Linked DNA regions of Daphnia pulex. The main gene of each other region encodes a partner of the protein of the gene in region 2 in a complex. Links are inferred from orthologs where the notes say so. Each region holds a gene or a part of one and is shown on either strand. Other genes may lie near its edges. The genes, in order: pre-mRNA-splicing regulator WTAP-like and N6-adenosine-methyltransferase non-catalytic subunit-like.

Region 1 (12,280 bases), on a different chromosome or scaffold from region 2:
GCTAACTTGATCCTCTGTGTCCTTGAATGCTAAGAAACGGTGACAGAACATTTATTTTTTTTTTTTTTAACAAATAAAATTCCACTATAAACAGGTACCGACAAGAGGGAGCAACGCAGTGGATTCCTGTCGACGTCGATCCACCAACCAATACAAAGACGGTAATACACAACCTGCAGCCGGGAACTTCCTATGAGTTCCAGGTCATTGGCAAGAATGTTTTAGGAGATGGAATGTTCAGCAATATCATCAAGGAACGCACCAAAGGTATACAGGATTAATTGCCATAAAAATATGTATATCCCCGATTAGCGATATTAAACGTATTTAAGATTAATAACCCGCTATGAGCCCAATAAAACACCAATCAATCTGGGTTTTATTTTCCAAACCATATTAAAATTAAGAAAAAAAAACAGCGATTGCAATGCGCTGAATGTGTCTCGGATTCACTGTAATGTGAAAATTACATATGCGATCTATATGTCTACGCGTTCAGGGCAAAGACCACCTGATCCACCTCCTCCTGGTCCTAGTCGAGCGACCACGTCACCGGCTCCGTCGAATAGCGGAGATAATGACGGTAACTAACCATCAGCTAATGAAAAACAGGATATTGCACGGTGCACGCGTAGATTTATTATACGCTCCCTTTCCTAATTTTTGGTTATGACTTTTTATCAAGTGAATAGTTTAAAATTATTTTGTCCTGCAGCATTTTAGTTTATTTATGTTTTCATTTTGAGTTCATTCCTCTCGTTTATGTTTTAGAATTACGGAAGTACAATGTAATCGTTTACCCGACTGACGCTCGTGGTTCCACCTACATTCCTGCTTTATTTCGCCCAACAGGTTGGATTTGTTTTACTTCGGTTACTAATTTGCTTTTCTGAATGAGTCGTACAAACGTTCCGCATTAACGGGAATTATTGTAGACAAGTTTAGAAATACGAATGAAATTTTATCGAACAAGAAAAATTTCAATGACCTCGAATTAATTTTCTTTCATATCAGGGCCACCCCCAATAGCGCCAGAGAATGTAACCATCACCGAAACTTCCGATGGAATTATACTCTCCTGGAGCTATCCCCGTCGTGGAAATATAGCCATTGCCTATTTTACAGTGGATTATTGCTACGACGATCAATGGAGGCGGCTGAGTAAATCAGAGCTGAAGTCCACAGAGAATAACTTTCAAGGTATTTATCATTCCATTAAAGTTCGGTCTTTCACGTTTTACATTAACGAAAACATTTAACATAATTGTATTATTAGTAAAAAATCTGAGTCCTGGAAAGACGTATATGTTCAGGATTAACTCACATACGTTGACAAGTCAGGCCTCAAGCGAAAAGGTCTCGTACATCATCCAGCGCAAGATCAAAGACAAAGCTATCACTGCAGGAATCGTTGGAGGAATACTTTTTTTCATTGTAGCCATCATTTTGGCTGTTTGCACAGTAAAGTGTGTCAATAAGCGGAACAAGAGACGCAGGCGTGAACAGGAAAATGGTATTTCTTGTTTTATTTTTCATCGCGATACTTTTAATATTAACATTTTCATCGCAAAAAAAAAACAAAAAAAATCATTTTTCTCCACTAACGAGTGAGGAACATTTGACTCATTCACTTTTATTTTTGCATGATTCGACATCAATGTGTAGCTTACAGCATGGTGGCCTGTCAGATGTCAGCAGATACTCGAAACGGCTGTCAAACGGGCCCTGCCAAGTCAGTGCCTTCCAGAAAGTAAGTGTTGCATTAATTTTTCTTCTTCATTTATTTGTCTTAGTTGAAAAACAAACAAAAAATTATTGAAAAATTTCTGAAACGCTAAAACTACTCCATCTTACTAGCAGTGTTCAACTAATAGATTTCTTGTTCCTTGTATGTGAAAGTGCGAGAAGTGATGAACTGTGAATAGCGTATAAGACAAATTGTTTAGATAAAGTCGTCAGCAGTACGTGTGGAGGAATCCAGCAAAAAAGCCAAGTGGTTTGACCTATCCTAATGATTTCTGTAGGCTCTCGTCCGAGCTCTCTTCCTCCGAGGCAAGCATCTTAGCGACTACTATAGCTAGTCTGATGCTCAACCGTAATAGCGTAGCGAGTCATCGTAAGAATTGCTCATTAATTTACCACTGGGATCCTTCCGATGCCGCACATTTGGTTGACTGTATTCTATACCACTGCGACGATCTGACCCGACCACTTGGCGGCACAACTTCTTTCAATCTCATTCACTGGAATACCGTGTGCAAGTTCACGTGTTATCTTCTCCTAATCAAAAATGGTGTTGGGTTGCTTCCGAGAACGATAATTTAAAAACAAAACTAGTCTTTACTTCTGAGTCTTGCTAGCTTTTCGTTGGATTGTACCTATTCTGATGTTTCCTCTGTATTCTCTTTTTTCTCATGCTGCTCTTTCTGGTACCTAGGAGGAAAGGTGAGCGACGTTTCATTTTTCGTCTCGATGTCGTTAAAGCTTAAGAGAGATTGACCAATTGCATGGCTTAACTTACATGCGATGTACTTTAGAACGAAAGTATTAATATGGCTATTGCAAGTTCAACTTATAGTGGTGGGTGAAATTTCACCCACGACTGTACTTTACCTATCGTGCACCCGAAATTGTCATTCAAGCCTAATTGTTTCATTCCTGCTAAAAGTTGCGATTTTACACCACGTAGTACTGTCTTTCAGAATTATAAAACTCCCTATCAAAGAAGGAAAAACAAATTGAATGACGGTTTGATGTGTGCAAATATCAACCAAGATGAATATACTTGTTTGCTAGTCCTTTCGGAAAACCATTCCGCCACAAGTTTTTTTTTATTTTACAAAAAGCATGCTATTCGACCCGCACTCGATATCACTCGCCAGCGAATGTTCTCCGGAGGCTTTCGGAAAACTTTACGTTTCAAATTTGCCAGTGCCGTCAAGTTATTAGACGACAATCAACATTCACTTTAATAATCTTGAAATACCCGAGTCTAATTCATGTTTTTGCATTCTTTGTTTTGTTTGCTATGTGGTTGATGTCATCGCAGAGGATGGATTGGCCGACTGCCCTCTATAACGCGATTGTCACACTTGAAGCGAGGAGCAGCTTCTATCCGCCACGTTCTATACATTTGTCCAATTGAGCTGCCGGAGCAAGATCACGAAACGGGAAGAACGTCGGTAGCAACGAGAACAGGAAACTTACCGCTTGGAACAGGAACGACTACCACTGATGCTGACGACTGGCTTGAGTACGGCGCGGCTGAGTTGCAAACGCGAAGCACTAGACGACGATTGGAGGCTCGATACAACGTCCAGGCCGAATTTCTCCAACCAGCTGGATGGATTTCTCGAACACCAGAGGGCAAGTTCGTGGTTGCCGATGAAGGTGCTCGGCAGATCCATCCAACTTACGGCTCCTATTCACCAGCTATAAGTCCCGTTGTCGAAAGTGGAGTTTACCGAATAGGTGGCGACCGACTTATCTGGCCACGACCGAAGCCAATTTTACGCAGGGAACTAAGCCCTGTACCACCTACTAGTGGTATATTGCCGGCTATGATATCTCCACCGACTAATTATCCGTTAGCCATGTCATCCCATCCAACAGTAACTTCTCCCCAATTCGGCCGACACGCAATCCCGTCGCAGCCGTCATCTCCTCATCATTTGATACCTGGCAGTCGCCAAGAAGCGATTAGATCTAGTTCACCAGGTCCGGGACTCCTACTATCCCCCTCTTTAGCAAACTTTAGCGACATGAGTTCGGTTCGTCATCCTAGCTCAGCAGAACGATCTTTGCATACCACATTCTCGTCTCGCCTTTCCTCTTTTCAAAAGCAACAGACACCAGACTTACCTCCGCGTCAAAACAGGCTCAACCGTTTTTTCCCATCTGCTGTCGCTCTCTCCTCCTCCGTAACGCCAAATAATAACTACATCCACGAGCTTCCTGCCCTTCTACCGATTCATCAGCAGCTGATTGTCCAGCAGTCACCCAGACGACAAGTCTCACCTCCACTAGAGACGATGCGTACTGTTCGCGCCGAAGTCCATTCGACTGAGACACCTCGCAGTGGGTCAAAGCAACGTGTTCAAAACGAGTTCGGCTTGCTCCTGAATACCGCCGGAAGGCATTTTCACGCTCCACCTCCTTTTCGACCGCCACCGCCACCGGTTTATCATCAACTTCCGTATACAATTTCATATCCGTCATCGTTACAGCGGCCACTGGCAACAAGTTCGCCACCACGAAGTCGTCATTTCCCTGAAGGTGCTGGTCCCTTTCCCACAGGAAACTATCCTCGACGTACCGCCGATCTTCTTGGTTCACCCAGGCGACGTTCACCGCTAACAATAGCAGTTCGACTGAGTCCATCTCGGACGCAGCAGCGAATGAGTGAACGAAGCCGTAGTCAAATAGTTGAGTACTCTCCCCAAAGCCAATCGAGTTCGAGCGGATTCGATAGTAAAAACACATCGCAACAAAATCAGAGTTCACAGTCTGGATCCGGACAATCACAGCTCATGGCTACTAACTTCTCTTCTTCCACGCTATGGGGAACGTCTCCACCGAGCCAAATAACTTCAGGCGAATCTACTTACGTCAACTGGCCCGTCAAAGCACTGGCCACGCCTTCTCTATCTCTGCTGGATGCGAGTGTCGATAACCACTACGAATTCGACACGACGCAAAGTCCAAACGAGACGGGGCTACAGGATTCTACGCTTCATACGGCTACTTTCATTCCACCCACGACAACTAGAGCTGTTGATCTATCCACAGATTCCTCTGGACCTGGACCAGGACGCCATAGAAAGGTTGGGCCAATACCGGCACGGTCGGAAAACATTGAAGCTAGGGTTCAAGCCATGAAGGAAGAATTTCAAGAATATCGGAAACGAAGGGCTCGCGGACTACTCGAAAGTGCGTGTTAACTTGTGGTTCTTAAATAATGACTGAAATTAGTGCTAGTTTTTTTTTAAACATTGAATGCCAGAGACAGGAAAGAAAACGAATACTCATTACTTTCAAATTACGCTTCATTCCGCGATCGCTGCATTCCGCATCCTATTCCTCCCAAGTCTCAATTCGTTAGCTATTTGATTATGAACGTATACGTTGTGTGAATGATAGCGTAAATGTGTGCATGCGACTTGTCGTGGTGAGTGTGCTAAATGCACTATTTATCGTGAAGAGATTGATTCAGCAGATAAGAAAAAACATGTATGAACTAAATGAATGAATGTCATCGAGTAGATTTCCCACTGCCAGTTGCTACTGTAATTAAATTCCAGAGAAAATTCATTCTTGTTCAAATTCATCTATTATCTGAGTCTTGATTATTCAACTTCATGCGTAGACAATTAGAGACAGCAACATTCCCATGGAAGATAGAAACTCTGTGGTAAAATTCGTAAACATGACTCGCTCACTCCTACGATTCATTGCTTGCTCCTTCGATTTAGCGCACTTTCTCATTGGATTCTCTTATCAAACTGTAAATCCAATAGACATTTGTCAACCTCGTCTTTGATTATGTATATGCGTGCAAAAATGCGACTCAGAAATAATCTTGTATGGTGTACTAAACATGGAATCATGATGTGCGAGTGTCATCCTAGATTAAGAATATTTCGTTTCATGCCAGAATCCTGTTTCTTTATTAAAAACAGAAACCCAAATGAATGGTTCTGTAATGTTTGTCTTACTTGGTTTCTTCCAGTACAAATTGGAGGCTTGTCTCACCCTTCACATGTGTTTTAAGTCATTTATTTGAAACACCTCAGACATTTTTTTTTTGCACAACTTTTCAGCCAAAACACATAAATCAAGAAACTACCCATCGCATTTTACCAGACAATGCCTGCTTCACTCTGGCTTGTTCAATATCCTTGACTGAAAAAAAAAAACAAACAAAAATATATATATTAATACGTTTTTTTTCTGGCTTCATAACGACTTGGGTCTCACTTGATTGTCGTCGGTTAGATCGACCGTACAACATCCTATGACGAAAATCCTTTGGAACACTGGAGCCTGGTTTGGAAAACTTATTTTTCCACTTCCTTGATTCAAGAACTGCAACACTAAAGTCAGATGATTCCACTTCTCCCGTTTCCAATGGGATGTAATGTTCTTTTTCAAACCCTAGTAATTGTGCAATTTATGAGACAACAGATCATTTATTTTAAAAGCTATCGAAAAATACTTATATGACCACTGGAGGCATTCCCAGATTTAGTTCTCTTTCTTTGCTTTTTCTCAGAATCTTGTTGAGATTGTTGTTGAACAGGTTGAGCTGAAATGACGTCCACTAAGTTATCAGGTAACCTTTTTGAAGCCAAAGACTGAAGGGTTTTAGCTTTCTGTTCTTTCATCAATGCTTCTTTTTTCTGTCTTCGTTTTTTTTGTTCTTCTTTAGTTATGCGTTTGAACTGTTCCTCTGCTTTAAGTATTGAAAGAGCTGCAACTTTTGATTTACTAAAGGATACATCATCAGGAGCTTCATCTGAATCTGACGCAGAGTCATTTTCTTCAACAGCTAGATTTGTTTCATCTCCTGGAAAGAAAAATAAACACTTTGTTGTAACGAGAAACACACAAGTTCCATCAAAGGAATTAAAAGAAATGAAGTACCTGCTGGTATGTTGAAAACCAAATCGCTGTCTTCTGGATCTGGGCAATATTCATACTGCACCGAAGCCATCTTATTTGTATTAAAAAAAAAGAACTTTTATTTTCCACGTTGTGCGAGTGAGACGGACAAGGACAACCAGACATGTGTCAGTACTCAGTAGCAGACAATATTCCGCGTTATTACAAGAATTTGACTAAACTGCGGGTTTACGGACATACCGATGGTAATGTGCGGGGTTAAAAGAAGAACTACTGCTTCTGGTGCTGGTGGGCTGGGGGCTGGCTGGGGGTGGGAAGGTACTTCGAAACTTTTCTGAATACACAGTTGCATTCACAGCAGAGGGATATTGCATTGTAGCCGTAGCTATCATCAGATTTTGAAATTGAGTGGAGACAAGTGTTAATGATCATCGAGCATCAAGCTGTAAGCACGTTATAATAATGGGTGAAGTGGAACGATGCTCTCCTATTAGAGTTTTATTAACTCATGAAGAATTAGTTAATCTTGACAAATCCCAATTACATCAGCAATGGATGAAGCAGGAAAACTACATTAATTGGCTGGAGTCACAGCTATCAACTGCTCAGAATGGTTGGCTTATTTTCTACATTCATACCAGTTTCTACGGTAGCTTATTTGTTTCATTCATTTAAATTACTATCAGCATTGACTCCAGTACGAGAGTTTGAAGAAAAACTTAAACATTCAATTTCATCTGAATCTGGAAGAAGGGAAAATTTTCTTTTAATGCGTTTGAACTCTAAAGAACAAGAAATTCAAGATCTAATAGTAAGTTTAATGAAAATGTATTTGATCAAAATGAATGCAATCACATTCATCTTAATGAATTTTCAGAATTACTGTGCCATTTACTTATTTTCACAAATTATGACAGGTCCAAATTCAAGAACTGAAATCATCACAAGCTGGTAACTCAACATCCTTGAGGTCATCACTGTTAGATCCATCAGTCAATGTTCTAATCCAACATTTGCGTAAAGAGCTTGATAAAGCTAAATCAGCATTTGAAGAAACTCAAAATGAACTGAGCGCTTGGAAATTCACTCCAGACAGGTTTTTCTTTATAGTAGTCTTATTCTATCTTAAGTTACTAACAGCTCACCTCTCTATTCTAAATTTTATTGTTGAAAAAACTTATAGCAATACTGGGAAACGTTTAATGGCGAAATGTAGACTACTTTACCAAGAAAATGAAGAACTAGGAAGGATGATTTCCTCTGGCAGGCTGGCTAAATTGGAAGGGGATTTAGCTCTTCAGCGAAACTTCAGTGAGGAGATGAAGAAATCTCAATCAGGTGAATTAATTTTGTTTACTATATTTCTTTAATTTGATTAAGTTTTGTAATAAGAATGCCACAGTTATGAAATTTGATTTGTTTTTTCTGTCTCAAATGAAGGATTCATAATTTGTGAATTGATTCGTTTCTAGAACCAAAACTTGTTTTCTCAAAAGTGCCTGAATCTTATCATAATTTAAATGTACTGTACTGACTTATCTTTTAATTTTAGCATTTTATTTTTATTTTTCAGAATTAGATGAATTCTTATTGGAATTGGATGAAGATGTTGAAGGTATGCAATCAACTATTTATTTTCTACAGCAACAGTTGCGCCAAACACGGGACCAACTATCTGCAGCTCAAAAAGAAAATGAACTTCTTCGTAATACCAGCACAAACACGGCCAACACAGGCGCAGATGAAGAAAAATCCCCGGTAAACTCTTCTCAATCGGAAAATCAGTTAAACGAAAGGATGTGCGAACCTTCTTATTTGCAGTCGAACTCTTCTCATCTTATGAATGATAGTGATCGGTGTAATGGCCCTCTTCAGCCATCTTTTCACAATGACTAACTATTACTTTAAACTTACCTTTCGTAAAACGTCAAACCTGATTCGATTACGAGTAGTTGGTTTTAATTTTCGTGATGGATTTTCATCGTTTATATCGGGTCTTGGACATATTGTAATCCATTATTTTTTTTTGTGTAGACTTGATTTTTTTATTGCCAATTGTAGTGTACGAGTAAGTTAATACGACGAGTAAAATTTTCTTCAGATCAAACAGCCTTATTATACACTGCGATTGAAGCTGCAAAATTAGTAACAGTTAGTTATAGGCTCGTATCCTATAACTTATTATCTTATATTTCCTATTATTATTATTTCCATTTATTATCCTACATTTTTAATTATTATGATTTTCAATCGTGCCGAAATTTTGATTCGATTTTTCGAGTTTTTTGGGCATATGAGAGGATTGTTGAGAGGATGTTATATTGGTTTTTCCCAGTATGGCGTCATATTCTTCCAAATTTTGCGCGATTCTTTAGTCATGAAGCTTAAATGGCTAAATAGCGATATCTGAAATAATAGATCCTAGCCACCGGTTTTTCTCTTTGGAGCACAAATTCATCGCATAAAAAGCCATTCGGGAAATCGTATGTGTGTGTGTGACATATACGCATTCTCGTTATGAACTTTTTATGAACAAAGTTCTACTAATGAATCGTGGTATTTTTACGATTTCATAAATTAGACTTTACAGATGTAATATCTCACTTTCTAATAATAATAGAATACCTACAATTCGTCAATTCCAGGTAATAAAGTGCGAGTGTGCGACGTGGGGTGGCAGGGTGAAATACCGTCTCGAGCAACTCATCGAGCTTTTGCTAAAATTTCTAAGTGTTTCAAGTATATAAATGAAGTTCAGGACTGAATCTGATGTGATTTAAAGTTTTTTTTATATTGGTTTCTTTTTATTTTATCTTTAGATTTTTTAGTTCCTTTGTTGGATTATTTATCGCGATTTCAGAAATCGCGCCACATTGGTTCATAATTCGACCGCTGAATTTGAATTGGCATTGTCATGACATCGTAACAAGCATCTCAATCTGGTTCTGGAGCGTCTGACTCCCTCCTGAACAACGTGGGAATGTTTACACAAGTGTAGGCGTGTAGGATGTAAAATGTAATCGAACTTCTCACGCTCTTGATTGGGGAAATATTGATATGGTTATTTTTGGTTCCTCTCGTGCCGTCGTTGTCTACGATTCAAATAAGTTATGTGTCTTGCACAGTGCTCCAGCTACCCGAACCCGACTCAGCATCATTCGACTACCCAGCCAACTTGAACTACCCCAGGCCAGCTCTCAATGCAGCAGGGAGTTTCTTGAGGACGACGAGATCATGATTTAGTGAGGAGAATATGTTGTGAGTATCGAGTATTTTTCTTTTGTCTTTTTTTTGTTATTGTTAATTCAATTCATTGTGGATTAGTGTGGATTAGCTAGAACAGGCAACCTTCGATCGTTTTTCCTGGTTTTTCAGCTGTCAAAAGCACCAACTTTAAATACTTTTATTTTTCTTATTTCTAAAGTCATTTATTGGAGTTATTGTGCAAAATTATTTGGGGTGATATTTGACCGTAAGTGCTACAAAGCTCACTTGTTAGATTTTTGATAATTTGCGTTTATATTTACTTCCGATTTCTAAATCAGTTAATAGCTCAGTAAGTTTTCATGTGACACACAAATCAACCCATTATTCATGAATCGTGATCCTCGTCAAATTTGGGGTCGATTTCATTTGTTAGTACAAAATGTCGGGAAATCGTCAACAATCGAGAATTTTCCTGATTGCACTTACGTCTGGTACGAATGTTGCGTGACGAAACCTCTCTTCAGTGTTCACAATCTGTTGGATCGATCACACAATATTGGCCTCTATGTAATTGATCATGTGTTTGTAACTTGGATAAGATTGCAGAGGAATATTTTCATAAAAGCCGACTGTCCTTCAAACGGTTCAAAATGGAAGTTTATTCATTCACCGAAGAAACGAGTCAAATTATTCAAATTTCCATTGGTATAAAGAGAGTTTTAAGCTATAACCATTTAAGTTTTAACTTAGTATTCATTTTGATATTGGTTGTTGTAGACCCATTCCCAGCAACGACAACCTGCAGAAGGAAAGGCACGTAAAACTTGTCATGCAGAGGTTGGGTGAGAACGACACGTGTTACATAACCATTTGGTATTCATTTTGATATTGGCTGTTGTAGACCCATCCCCAGCAACGTCAACCTGCAAAAGGAAAGGACAGTCACACTCGAAGGTCACGGAGAAAAACGTGTCATGCAGCGGTGTAGGAGGTTGGGTGAGGACGGACTTTTTGCATCATTATCAAACAGGTACAACACCCGCAAGGCTTTAGAGGTGAGGGTGAGAAAAAAAATCGTATAAAAGGCGAGAGAAAAGGCGAAGGGAAATCAGTCGAGGGAGCATCTTCGACACGGCAACAACTACAGCGCTCTGTCTGTCAGTTCGCATCCATGGGTAAATATTCTGTCTTTTACATAGAGTTTGTTATCAATCCTTCTTTTGTTTATGTATGCCTGTTATTATGTAATATTTATGTCAACATTTATAATTGTCTAGCAAACTATGGCGTAGTGCTGCTGTTGTGTGTTGAATCATTGATGGCTGGGTTGACCACTGGTGTAGCGATGTCTCCTTGGTATGGCGGATACCAAACTGCAACGCCACCGCCTTACTACCCAAAAGCGACTTACGCAACGACCAGTTACTGCACCGAGGTCTTCAAGTACTACACCGTTAAAGCACCGGACTTGAATAGCACAACTTACGCTGCCCCGAGCCACTACACTGACGGCGTGAAGTATTACTGTGCCCCGAGTTACTACACCACCAAGGCGACGGAGGATGACTACGCATGCTGCCCCATCCTCCGAGGCTCATACACCGAGGCTCCTAAGTATTACTCTGTTCTCATCTACATATTGTACCGATTTTCAATACTACTCTGTTCCCAACTGCTACACCAAGGCTCCCGCTGATTACTACACCGAAGCGGCAAAGTACTACTCTGCCCCGATCTACACAACCATAACTGAGGCGGCCAAGTATTACGCTCTCCCGACCTACTGCTCAGAAGCTGCTCTTTCGTACTACGTTGAACAGGAATACTACACTGATGCTCCAGTTCACTACACCACGACCTACGCTACACCGCAGCCCCAAGTACTACACCGAAGAAGCCGCCTACAACAACGTATGCTGCCTAGTACACTACACCGAGGCTCCCAAGTACTACGTCACTAAGGCACCGGAATTCTACACGTGTATGTATCTACCCCTGCCTACTACACCGAGGTCCCGCATTACTACAACACTGAAGCGCTCAAGTACTACACTACAACCTGCGCTTCCCCGAGCTACTACACCTACGTCCCGAAGTATAACTGTGCGTAAAAGGAGTCTTCAAAACAAAAAAGTGCCCGAACTGCAGTGCCCTATCTGTCACCAACTGCTTTCCTCATCGTGTAACCGATTCGCAATTATGGGTGAATATTCTTATTTTTACACTGAGTTTTGTATCAATTATATTTTTTTCTATTTGGTAATATGCCTGTTAAAATTAGTCAACTATGGCGTCGTACTCCTGCTGGGTGTTATATCATTGATGGCTGGATCGACTGCTGGTGTAGCGATGTCTCCTTGGTATGGCGGAAAGCCGGAAACCAAACCGCAACGCTGCCGCCTTCCTACTCAACTTACTGCACCGATGTCTTCAAGTACTACATTACCAAAGC
Region 2 (12,241 bases):
GCCATTTCGTCGTCTGCTCTTCTTCAAGTTGACGTTACCGGTTATCCGTTTCGAAAATGAATCAACTAAGCTAGGTGAGGTAAAATGTTTTGCGAACCCATCCTTATGCAAGGATTATTGTAATGTAGGTGAGGGTACGCAAAATTTTTGTTTAGTTGAGTCGTCATTCGTCAAGTCAGTGTGCAAGAATGATTCTATCTAGACAGTTCTCTCTTCTTCGTTATTCAGTCTACGTATTTTAACGATATCGTTGAGTGCTTCACTTTTTGTGGATTTCATTTGTTTCAATGTAATAAGAATGATTTTGTCACGTTGTTAAGTGCCATGGATTTCCATCACAGCATTTGGAGTCGTCTTAATGTCAAATCCACGTGTCGACTGTGGAAAAATGGTGGTCTACATCCACGAAGAAAGGAGTCCAATAAGATATGATTTTACTATTTGATTAATCATATTGGTGTTGCTCAATTAATTAACAATTTTGTTTCTTTCTTATTAGGATGTTTGTTCGGGGCTTAATTCAATTATTGACATATTTGTCACTGAAAATGAATGCCAGGACTCTTCGACTGCAGCTCAACACACGGCTGGTAAGTGCGTCGTAATGAAAAGTCTAAATGCGGTTTTGTAGAATTGTAGAGGCGACTGAAATCGTTTTTATTCACGATATCTTGACTATGATTTTCTTATGGTACCGTTTTTGATCTTCCACGTGCCTTTCCTAAAAGCGTAGAAATAAAGTCCTTGGCGCTACGCCAAGGACAGCTGATCCAAGGTTTTTTGGGAAATTAGGGTCTACGATGGAATTTCAGGGTTTTGTTCATCGTTTGTTGCTTATTAACTCGCCTACTCAATAGCCCCGCGAGGGTTTTAATTGAAGTCTAGACTTGCGCCAAATTGCTTTAAGATTGGTTCTCGGAAGAAATGTGCAAAAACTGTTGTTCGTGATTCGTGCAGGGGAATGTAATAATGAAGGCGCTTTGGGGGAAATCCGGGATGAGTCATTTTCCCCACATCCTGTTTGAGACTACACTCAAGTCGTATTAGAAAATTAACATTTCATTTAGAAAGTGAGATAACAAAATTTGGTAGTGGCATTGAAGAAATCTCTTGATACAAGAATTCAAATTGCGGCAATAACTAAAAATCCAACACCTTGCGCAATGTGGAATTCAGCTATCAACAACCTGCTCGTTTGCCTCTTATATTATTTTCACATTGCAATGCAGTGAAAGCAAATATGCAAAAATCTCTCTGAAACGTCCCAGAGCTGAATATAAGAATGCGACAGGCAGAGAAATTTACAAGTTATGTAATGAAATCGTGAATCATTATAACGCGTCACAAATCTTTAAGTGGGTATATAATATTGCCTGGGGTTTCTCGAAATCACGTGTCTGGTTTAACTGTGTACGTTTTCGTGATTACAATCAGGGCATGGTTCCAATCATTTTTTTTTTTTTCATTTTTTTTTTCTAATTATTTATTCTGGAAAGGTGACAATATTCAAATGATGTTTTTTTTGTTGTTTTTCAGGTGAATAATAGCTCAACAATTATCTTCCACTCAGCCCTGGTAAAACGCCGATTGTACCAGCAAGATATTGAACAGATATTCTAAATAGAAAGTAAGATAAGTACATACAAAACAAGTTTTTTTTGTTTGCTATATACTCGTTTCATGTGTCATATGCTATGCCGACATTGGTCACAATGACAACCCCCAAAAGAGTGTTTGATTTGTGACTAACTGGGGAGCCTTCACTTTCACTTGTCTGAACCAAATCATCTGGATTGAACTAGACCAAATAATTTGTTTGATAAACCGGGCGACATTAATTGCAGTTTCTTCAATTCAGAAATAGATCACACACTACATCAGAGATCCGGCTCTTTTGATTTTAAATGTGAAATGTTGGAAAACCGGCTTTTTTTTTCAAAAAAAAGCTAGAAAATTATCCGCTTTTGTCTGTCGATTTCAAACAGAAATTTGTAAGAAACTGCGTGAAAGAATTTGCAGTCTGTTAAGTGTTACCTTCTTGAAGATGAGCTAAGAGATAACGTGAATTTGTTACTACTTTTTCTGCAATTTTTCGTGGGGAATTTTCGGGCATTCAAACGGAAATCAAAGTTAATTATTTTCTTTCCCCTTTGTTGTCTGAAAATGCTGTAAATCTTGTTTGAGTGACCATCGCCATTTCACATATGGCTGCTTTTTGTAAATGATTTTCTAACCAGGACTAGTGGACTGAAAGGGAAAGGAACTTGATAAACCTGTTTACCCCAAGGAAAAAAAAAGCTTTGGTTCAGCTTCATTCATAATTAGTTGGCCCCTATCTCGAGAAACGTAGTCAATTGCAGCCGAGCTGCCACAGCCGAATCTCGCTTGTTGCATCTCGCATGTTTTAATCGTGTCGTATTCTCGTTTCATTAATTTTCTGATTGTGTTATCTGTTGAATAATTTGCATCACAGGAATACAATTCTCAGAAACATGACGGAAGAGATTATCGAAGAAATGGCGGATGTGTTCGCTTCGTCACACCGGATTAATAATGAAAACGACAACCCAAGTGATTCTGGTGTCAACAGTGTTATAATCCGCAATGCGACCAAGACCTTCGGATCTGGACGTAACAAATGCGCAGTTCTTCAAGGATTAAACATGACCGTTAAAAAAGGATCAATGTATGGAACAATTATTTTTTATCTTTTTATTTTCAGTGGCATTTCATTTAGTTTTGTTCGGGAAAATTGTGAAAACAAAAGATTTGGCCAAAGATTCCGTCGAATTTTCTAATTTGAAAAGCAATCAAATTTAACTGTTATAGATACGGATTGCTGGGAGCCAGTGGCTGTGGCAAGACTACCATTTTAAGTTGTCTCGTCGCTTTGCGTACCTTAAACAGTGGAGAAATTCAAGTATTAGGACACGAACCGGGATCGCCTAAAAGCGGAATTCCCGGACCGCAGGTTGGCTACATGCCACAAGAATTGGCACTGTACGGCGACTTCACCATCAAGGAGACACTGACATACTTTGGCCGCCTTTACAAATTGAAAGCGACTTTTGTGAAATCGCAATTGAAGTTTCTGTCCAAGTTATTGGATCTACCCTCGTGTGATCGTTACGTCAAGACGCTGAGTGGCGGACAGCAACGACGCGTCTCGTTCGCCGTCGCTTTGTTTCACGAACCTGATTTGCTCATCTTGGACGAACCGACAGTTGGCGTTGATCCTTTGCTTAGGCACAGGTAATTTTGTTCAATTTCCCATCGCTATTCTCATTCATTCAAATTTTCTTATTTGACAATGCGCAGCATTTGGAATCATCTTGTCCGCCAAAGTGTTGACCATGGCAAAACGGTGATCGTCACGACTCACTACATCGAAGAAGCAAGACAAGCTAACACGGTATGAGAGTTGTTAAAAGATTGTGAATCTAATCATCAATTGTTATTCTGTGTTTTAAGATTGGAATGATGCGGGGCGGTCGTGTTCTAGTCGAAGATTCGCCGGAAAATTTGATAAGGGATTACGGACTCCCTTCGTTGGAGGATGTATTCCTACAGGTTAGCTTGAAGGACGGTAGTAGAAGTTCAGACAAACAATTGGCTGAAGATGTAACGAGTTCCAATGAAGCGGCTCCCGTCGAAACTCAAATTGAGCCTCAGCCTTCAGAAAGTAGCGCGGAAGCTTCTAATAAAATCGGAAAACGAACGCCGAATGAAAAAGGCGACAAAATCAAAAGTGTTGCCAGAAAACGTAAAAGTTTTAATTTGAAATCTTCACTGCCGACACCTCATTTCATTGGTGTACTTTTAAGGAAAAATGCCCTGGTGATGATTCGGAATTTTGGGTATATAGAATTTGCATAAAATTAACCAGTTCACTAAAAATATTAACCGAATTATTTTTGGGACTTAAGGATACTTTTAGTATCATTTTTCTTGCCTGCTATCCAAACGGCCCTGTTTAATGTTACACTCGGCGGAGAGCCCACTTACCTCAAGATGGCCATCGTCAATGATGAACTGAATCTGAGCCAGGGACGCGTTTGCATCAATAACACGATGGATTGCGCGTATTCCATGCTCAGCTGTCGCTACCTTCAGTACATCAATGACAATATTATTCAGGTAGACTTTTCTGTAAAAAATTTAAGCTAAATAAAATTACGATACTTTCGGCAATGTTCAGATTCCGTACGATAATGTATCGGAAGCTTTAGAAGCCGGAAGAAATGGTGAAGTTTGGGGTGTCATCCATTTCGGACAGAATTTTACAGAGGAGTATGAAATTCGACAGTCTCTTGGCGATTCGGCAAAATTGGATAATATCTTACGCAGTCGAATTAGCATCAACATCGATTCTTCTAGTGAGTTAATTTTTTTAAAAATGATAAGGAAATATTTTCTTACGTGGTTTTTCAGATCAACAAATCGATGCGTTTTTAAACAAGTGGCTTGTAGAAGCTTTTCGGGATTTTTCCCGAGGTTTATTGATAGCTTGTGGGCATGAGCCAGAGGCGGGCTACATGCCTATCGAGGTAGAAACAAATTTGATTATTAATTCATAACATCTCGTACAATTCAATTAATTGTCGTCTATTTCTTATTTTAGTTTACAGATCCAGTTTACGGCAGAAAAGATACCCAGTATACTGAGGCCATGTCCTCCGGCCTTATTATAGCGTGAGTCTGTTCACTGAATTTCGCACATAATTTTCTTTAAACTAATTCTATCCTTTTAGAATTATCTACTCATCGTCGCTTGTTTTTATTACCGGTGTATTTGTCGGTGAAAGACAACAAGGTCTCGTTGATCGTAGCTTAGTGGCTGGTGCGTACGTCGATATTGAAAGCAATTCATCACCGTTGTAATTCATTAATGGGTCATTCTATCCACAGGCGTGAAAATTGTCGACATTTTTGTTGGTCACGTTGGATTTCAGTTTTGCATCACGGTTTGCCAAACGTCGGCAGTTTTTGTGGTCATGTTTCTGATGTTCAAAGTACCTTGCCACGGTAGTGTGGCCCTGGCGTTACTCATTACCCTCCTCCAAGGATTCATTGGAATATGCTTTGGTATACAACGAAAAAGTTGATTCTTTTAAAAAATTTAAATGATTGTATACATTTTGTCTAAATCTCAATAGGTATGTTTACCGCTGCCATCTGCGATAACACTAACGGAGCACTTTACCTGACGCAAGCCAATTTTCTCCCGATTTTACTGATGGGAGGCATTTGTTGGCCGGTAGAAGGGATGCCTCCGGCATTACAAAAGGTTGCCCGTTTCCTACCGGTCACGTATGGCATCGAGTGTTTGAGAAGTATTCTTTCCCGCGGTTGGGGAATTGAAATGCCTGATGTCTACATGGGATTTTTAGTAAGCTTTGCATGGATATTTGGATTGACGATATTGACGTTGACAGTTATTCGCTACCGCAAATTTTCGAGCTAAAACAGCCGGTCCATCTATAAGTGAATCAAATTTCCAATTCGTAAGTTATTCGTATTAACAAGTATGCCACGGTTCATTTAACCTATTCTGAATTAACAAATAGCTGTCAATTTTTTGTCTAACTCTACCAAACAATATTAATTTTGCCTGATACCAATGGCAATAAAGTTATCAAATTGTTTTGTAATTTAAACAGAATCATCTATTCGCGTCATTTCCTTAAATGCGTTACACAATTTTATCTTAACTTTCGAAGTGTTGCAAAACAGAATTGAAAACTCAAAACGTTTATTTGCAATTTAATGCCTTAGAAATTAATTAAGTAATGCTTATTTCATCTTCCCCTGCCACGCGCTGCGCCCCGAGTAAAACCTCCGCGTCCACCTCCTGCCCCTTTGCTGCCTTTGGGTGGAGGAGATTTAGGGCGAAGAGCTTCAATCCTTTCTGTGCATCCGGTAGTCGTACAGTTACTATTAAAGTAGCCAGCGTATGTTTCTGCGTTGTAGTTGCTGTTTGTTAACGCTGGACCAACCGTCAACCAACCCGGTCGAATAGTACTGTCTCGCCCGAATAAGTGGAGCCTTAAAAATTAATTATTAATTAAAATTCTAATGAAGTGACCGTAAAAATAAATTCCTAACCTCCTTTTGCCAAGACAAAAATGTTCAATGATGTTGAAAATTTCGGACGGTTTCTCCAGAGATCCATACTCGGGTTCTTCCGTAATTATCAAATCGATATCGACATTGGCATGGATGAAATCTCCGTCCGTGGAACGCCTAACTGTTCCTTTGATTCCCATCAGACAATGCTCCTACTCAAAATCAGTACATCAGTAAAAGCATTTGGTTAGACGAAATTGAAATGGTCTTACTTTGGTTCGCTGGAAAACGGCTTTCTGCTCGAGGTTTTTCGAATGACCCGGAGCGTCTGCATTGGTTTTTATCCAGCAAATGTCTTCGCATCGCCGGAATCCCCATCGGCGCAAGCACACACGCCCCAAGTCTAGTCCATCACTGGAACCACACCACAAAAATATGAAACTCCTAGGAGCAGCAACTTCACCTATGTCGAGTTCCATAATCTAAGCGGAAAAAGAACCATTAATTCACAATCATTCATTATATTGTGGTTCAATATATATTTACCTGATCCCATGACAAAAAATCGACGTTGGTCACACCCAAAGAACGCTGGTATTCTTCCAAAGGAGGTTCAATGAGGATCACGTCAAATTTACAACCAATGTCTTTGAGATTAAACGTTTTTAAATCGGATTTCAGATACATGGGAGGCGAAGCTGTCTGGGCGATTAATTCATCTTTCAACCGAATAAGTTCCTTGAGCTTGGGATATTCTTCAAACCTATAAAAATGGTTAATTTAGTAGGTAATTGCTTTAGGGAAGATTTGCCCAATCATTTACCTATCAGCCAAGCCAACATCTCTTATAAAGTTTTGGGGTCTCTGTCCAGTATCAACAAAATGTTGGCAGTAATCATTGTGAGGGTTGGAAGACTGTGTTCCTTTTAGAAAGGTTGACGAATCAGTGTAAAGCAGTTTTGTCTCTTCGTCTTGTTGACTTCCGTCGGCATTAGCATTCTTTTTTATGTATTTCTCTGAAGGTCTAAGTAATTCCATTCCTGGTTCTGCTTTGGAACTATCTGTGCCACTTCCCAATGCCTCTTTCAATTTCTCCACTGACTGCATTCCCAACTGGTTAAAAAAACGTAAGCTAAGATTGAAAATGTGAATTTTTAAACTAAAGCACAATAAATACTCACGGTCTGTACGAGACATTGTTTCCGTTTTCTGGACAATTCTCTTCTCTGTTTTAGAAGGTCCACTTTATCCATATTAAGAGAGTTTTCTTCTTCTGTGACAGTTGTCTCTGCTAAAGGGAGAAGGCAGTGATACAGATTGTATTGATTCAGCCACTTAAATTGATTTCACCTTGTACACTGGAATTATCCACATAATTTGCCATTATAGATATCAAATGCTTAAATACCGACACAGTGCTCAATGTTGACTGTGGAGTACACCTTTAACATATCAAAACATTTAAAAACCCTAACCATTCAATAGTCCGCCATTATTATTTACCTTAGTTGCCGCTTGTAAATCAATGTCTTGTTTCGATATTTGATGAAAAGGGCAAAATATACTTGCAAGCATGAAATATCAAAGCACTTAATTTGAATTCTATCGGTTAAAATAAGATTTAAAATAATATTGATTAATTAATTGAAACCGTCAGCGGCCGAATTAACCATGGCCGAACTCCGGTATTTCAAAACTCAAAAATTTAAAATTTCGAAAGTCATTTGCAAGTTGAAATATATTAAAATTTTAAAAAGTATGCAAACTGAATACATTTGAATATCTGCATGTCACAATATTACAGAAAAAGCAAGCTCCGGCAAAGATGTTTCGGCTCGTTTTCGGCACATCAGCGATCAGCGGGATTCCTCATTGTTGCTGTTTAGTATCTACCAAGGGCAAAATTTACACGCTGTGTTAAAAGTGAGCAGAGAGGTACCGTCAGTGTCTCGAATCTTTGAGAGAAACGCGCCCTTTTCACTCTAAACTGAAGCGAAACAATCAAAGACATTACATTAGAGCTCAACCAGCATGGTTTGAGAGTTTTTCTACACGGAAAAGGATCGAAAAAGCACCTTTTCGTTGTTTTAGATTCTATTTATTCACAAAGTAGTACGGCTTTCTTCACAAATTTACAAAGTTGTTAAAGCACAAGTACTCATCTGAGTCGCAGACAATCTTATTTTTTGGCTTTTTAAAGTCAACAGGAAAAGGTAAGCTTGTTTTGTGTTGTCAAGTGTTAATTTATCAATTAAATCATTGTACCAAAAAAACCAATGTAATGTAACAGTATAACAGTAAGGGGTTTCCCAACCCCTTTAGACATCTCTAACAACCAATGAGAAACAAATAAATTTTTTTGACTTGGCGGTACCGAGTGGCAACGTTGTAGTTTCACTCAACGTTTCCGTTGGTTCGAAAAAAGTCGCTTCGAAATTTCAGTTTCACTCGACGCGTCGACAGTATTTTAAACGGCGTTTTTTTATAGTGGTTGTCATAGTGTATAATTTCCTAGGCAAATAGCCATTCTGTCCCTTTTATCGAATTTTAAGCTTATACTTTCGCCAAGGATGGCTTCTGATGGGCCATTAAAGGTAGTTGTTGAATGAAACTCACATGCTTTCAAGGTTACAACATGAATGTTTTGAAAGAAATTTTGTGATCCAAAACGTGACGTCTTACTATTCTTGATGTGAAGTGTGATCTAACATATTGTTTTTTTTTTTTTTTAGTCTTTGTTTGCAAAAATGAACAAAGGTACTGTTGCATCTGAGGCTGCCACGAATGGAGATGCTGGCAAGAAGAATGGAGCCAACAAGAGACTTTCAGTCGAAAGAATTTACCAGAAGAAAAGTCAGCTTGAGCACATTTTGCTTAGGCCTGATACCTACATTGGATCAGTGGAACCTGTTAAAGATGTCATGTGGGTTTATGAAGAAGATGCTGGAATGATCCAGAGAGAAATTACTTACGTACCCGGACTGTATAAGATCTTTGATGAAATTCTCGTCAATGCTGCAGACAACAAAGTCAGAGACTCCAAGATGGATACCATTAAAGTCGACATTGATCCGTAAGCTTAAACATGTGCTGGTGTGTTATAAGTTTTTTTAATCGTGGTTTCTGCTTCTTTCAGGAAAGAAAATGTCATCACGATCTACAATAATGGAAAAGGCATTCCTGTTGTGGAACACAAGGAAGAAAAGATGTATGTTCCCTCACTGATCTTTGGCCACTTACTTACTTCATCCAACTACAATGATGAAGAAGAAAAAGTAACTGGTGGTCGAAATGGTTATGGTGCAAAACTGTGCAACATTTTCAGCACTTCATTTGAATTGGAAACAGCATCTAAAGATGAGAAGAAAAAATTCAAGCAAACCTGGACTGACAACATGACTAAAGCTGGAACTCCCAAGATCGTGAACTACAATGAAGCAGATTTTACACAAATCACTTTCTCCCCTGATCTGGCAAAGTTCAAAGTAAACATCTTGGTATAATTTTATTCCTATAAAAAAATTACATTCAATGTTTTATGGTAGATGGATTCCCTGGATAAGGACACAGTTGCTCTTCTGTCTCGCCGTGCTTTTGATGTAGCCGCTTCAACTCGTGGCGTGAAAGTTTTCCTTAACGGCAAACGTCTTCCTATCAAGAATTTCAAGGACTACGTTGATCTCTGTCTGAAGGTATTGTTGATACATTTTTCATTGATTATAATAAAGAAACAAGCTTACCATATTATTCAATTTAGGGTAAAGAAGATGATGATGGAGCTCAACTTAAATGTGTGTATGAAGCTGTTAGTGAACGCTGGGAGATTGCGGTAGCTCCTTCCGACAAAGGATTCCAACAAGTTTCATTCGCAAACTCAATCGCAACTACTAAAGGCGGGCGACACGTTGACTACGTTACTGAGATCGTATCAAAATATTTGCAGGAATTTCTTAAAAAGAAAAACAAGAGTGGCATTAATGTCAAACCTCATCAGATAAAGAATCACCTGTGGATTTTCGTCAACTGTTTAATCGTCAACCCAACTTTCGATTCTCAAACCAAGGAAAACATGACTCTCCAGGCCAAAAGCTTTGGTTCCACTTGCAAACCTAGCGAAAAGTTTTTTAACGCGGTAAGAAAACAAAAATAATTGAAGTTATTTCTCTTAATGTATATATAAAATGTTTTTTCCTTTGCAGCTCAACAAGTCTGGCGTTATAGAAGGTGTAATGACCTGGGCCAAGTTTAAGGCGCAAACTGAATTGAACAAGGCTTGTAGTGGCAAGAAACAAACAAAATTGAAGGGCGTCCCCAAACTAGAAGACGCTAATAATGCTGGCACAAAACATTCGATCGACTGCACTCTCATTCTAACTGAGGGAGACTCAGCCAAGTCCCTAGCTGTTTCTGGTCTTGGTGTGGTCGGCCGTGACAAGTACGGTGTCTTTCCTCTCAAAGGAAAGGTGCTCAATGTGCGGGAAGCCACACATAAACAAATTCTGGAGAACGCCGAAATCAACAATTTGATCAAGATCCTTGGATTGCAGTACAAGAAGAAATACGAGTCTGTTGAAGATCTCAAATCACTTCGTTATGGTCGTTTAATGATCATGACTGATCAGGATCAGGATGGTTCTCACATTAAAGGCCTGCTCATCAACTTCTTGCACCATAATTGGCCATCACTATTGCGCTTACCCTTCCTTGAAGAATTCATCACACCCATTGTCAAAGCCACCAAAGGAACAGGGGCATCAGCCAAGTCACTAAGCTTCTACTCGTTGCCCGAGTTTGAAGAATGGAAGACCAATACAGAGAACTGGCCTACCTATCGTATCAAGTACTACAAGGGGTTGGGAACTTCGACGTCCCAAGAAGCAAAAGGTTACTTTTCCGACATGCAGCGACATCGAATTCTCTTCCACCACGATGGAGACCAAGATGACTACGCTATTTTGATGGCTTTCAGCAAGAAGCACATTGAACAGCGCAAAGAGTGGCTAACTTCTTGGATGGAGGAGTGCAAGAGGCGCCGTGAACTTGGACTGCCTGAGCTTTATCTGTACGAAAAAGACACCAAACGAGTAAGCTACCGTGACTTCGTCAACAAGGAATTGGTGCTGTTCAGCAACATGGACAACGAACGATCCATCCCTTCACTCATGGATGGTTTCAAGCCTGGGCAACGTAAAGTCCTCTTTACTTGCATCAAGCGAAATGACAAGAAAGAGATCAAGGTCGCCCAATTGGCTGGCTCTGTAGCTGAGCACTCGGCATACCATCACGGCGAGGCTTCTTTGATGGGCACAATCATTGGTTTGGCTCAAGACTTCGTCGGATCCAACAATATCAATTTGCTTCTTCCCAATGGCCAGTTTGGTACTCGCCTCCAGGTATTTTTTCCCCAAGAATTTGTGCCTGACGATATTTATTAACCTCTTCCTTTTTTTATCGACAGGGAGGTAAAGATGCTGCCAGCCCTCGTTATATTTTCACTTTGATGAGCAAGCTGACTCGCATTATTTTTCACCCACACGATGATCCATTGTTGAAACATCAAATGGACGATAACCAACGCATCGAACCCGAATATTATGCTCCGATTATTCCTATGATCTTGGTCAACGGAACTGACGGAATCGGTACCGGTTGGATGACAAAGATTCTGAATTACAATCCACGAGAGGTCGTTGCTAATGTCAAGCGGATGTTAGACGGCGAAGAACCCATCCCTATGGATCCGTGGTTCAAAGGTAACTGAGTGGAATGTAAAAAAGTGATTACCAAGAAAAATAATTTATATTTATTACTTATTCAGGTTACAGGGGTACTATTGAAAGGATTGATCGCCACCGATATGCTATCAGCGGTGAATTAGCAGTTCTGAGCGGTACGGAAATGGAAATTACGGAACTTCCTCTACGTGTCTGGACTCAAAACTACAAGGAATCCGTAATGGAGACCTTGTTGCACGGCTCAGAGAAAATCCCGCCCCTTATCACTGACTACAAGGAATACCATACGGATACAACTGTGCGATTTATCGTTACCATGTCGGAAGAAAAGATGCAACAGGCAGAAGCCGAGGGACTGCATAAGGCTTTTAAACTCCAGACTACACACTCCCTGACATCCATGGTGCTGTATGACTCTAATGGCTGTCTCAAGATGTACG

Evidence for each region.
Region 1: N6-adenosine-methyltransferase non-catalytic subunit-like (region 2) and pre-mRNA-splicing regulator WTAP-like share a complex: the UniProt entries of both Homo sapiens proteins name them as parts of the WMM complex. The link is inferred for Daphnia pulex from reciprocal best matches to the Homo sapiens genes METTL14 and WTAP.

What each region holds. Positions count from the first base shown.
Region 1 is NC_060020.1:5,264,348-5,276,627, forward strand, and holds pre-mRNA-splicing regulator WTAP-like, read left to right. Parts: upstream 1-6,967; 5' UTR 6,968-7,083; coding exon 7,084-7,234; intron 7,235-7,307; coding exon 7,308-7,432; intron 7,433-7,538; coding exon 7,539-7,959; intron 7,960-8,194; coding exon 8,195-8,517; 3' UTR 8,518-8,723; downstream 8,724-12,280. Other genes in the region: protein turtle-like, read left to right, coding at 95-267, 500-583, 772-852, 1,015-1,200, 1,277-1,513, 1,666-1,750, 3,050-4,940; uncharacterized protein LOC124193179, read right to left, coding at 5,834-5,901, 5,977-6,153, 6,215-6,565, 6,643-6,712; uncharacterized protein LOC124191909, read left to right, coding at 11,000-11,003, 11,106-11,524. UniProt on the Homo sapiens protein: Associated component of the WMM complex, a complex that mediates N6-methyladenosine (m6A) methylation of RNAs, a modification that plays a role in the efficiency of mRNA splicing and RNA processing.
Region 2 is NC_060026.1:13,573,538-13,585,778, forward strand, and holds N6-adenosine-methyltransferase non-catalytic subunit-like, read right to left. Parts: upstream 7,581-12,241; 5' UTR 7,451-7,580; coding exon 7,417-7,450; intron 7,358-7,416; coding exon 7,248-7,357; intron 7,180-7,247; coding exon 6,890-7,179; intron 6,830-6,889; coding exon 6,613-6,829; intron 6,553-6,612; exon of another isoform or gene 6,549-6,552; coding exon 6,339-6,548; exon of another isoform or gene 6,279-6,338; coding exon 6,106-6,278; exon of another isoform or gene 6,046-6,105; coding exon 5,799-6,045; 3' UTR 5,736-5,798; downstream 1-5,735. Other genes in the region: ABC transporter G family member 20-like, read left to right, coding at 2,493-2,686, 2,830-3,252, 3,319-3,412, 3,472-3,857, 3,927-4,137, 4,199-4,376, 4,432-4,547, 4,622-4,692 and 3 more; DNA topoisomerase 2-like, read left to right, coding at 8,637-8,660, 8,799-9,139, 9,203-9,551, 9,612-9,758, 9,824-10,198, 10,266-11,459, 11,525-11,819, 11,885-12,241. UniProt on the Homo sapiens protein: The METTL3-METTL14 heterodimer forms a N6-methyltransferase complex that methylates adenosine residues at the N(6) position of some mRNAs and regulates the circadian clock, differentiation of embryonic stem cells and cortical neurogenesis.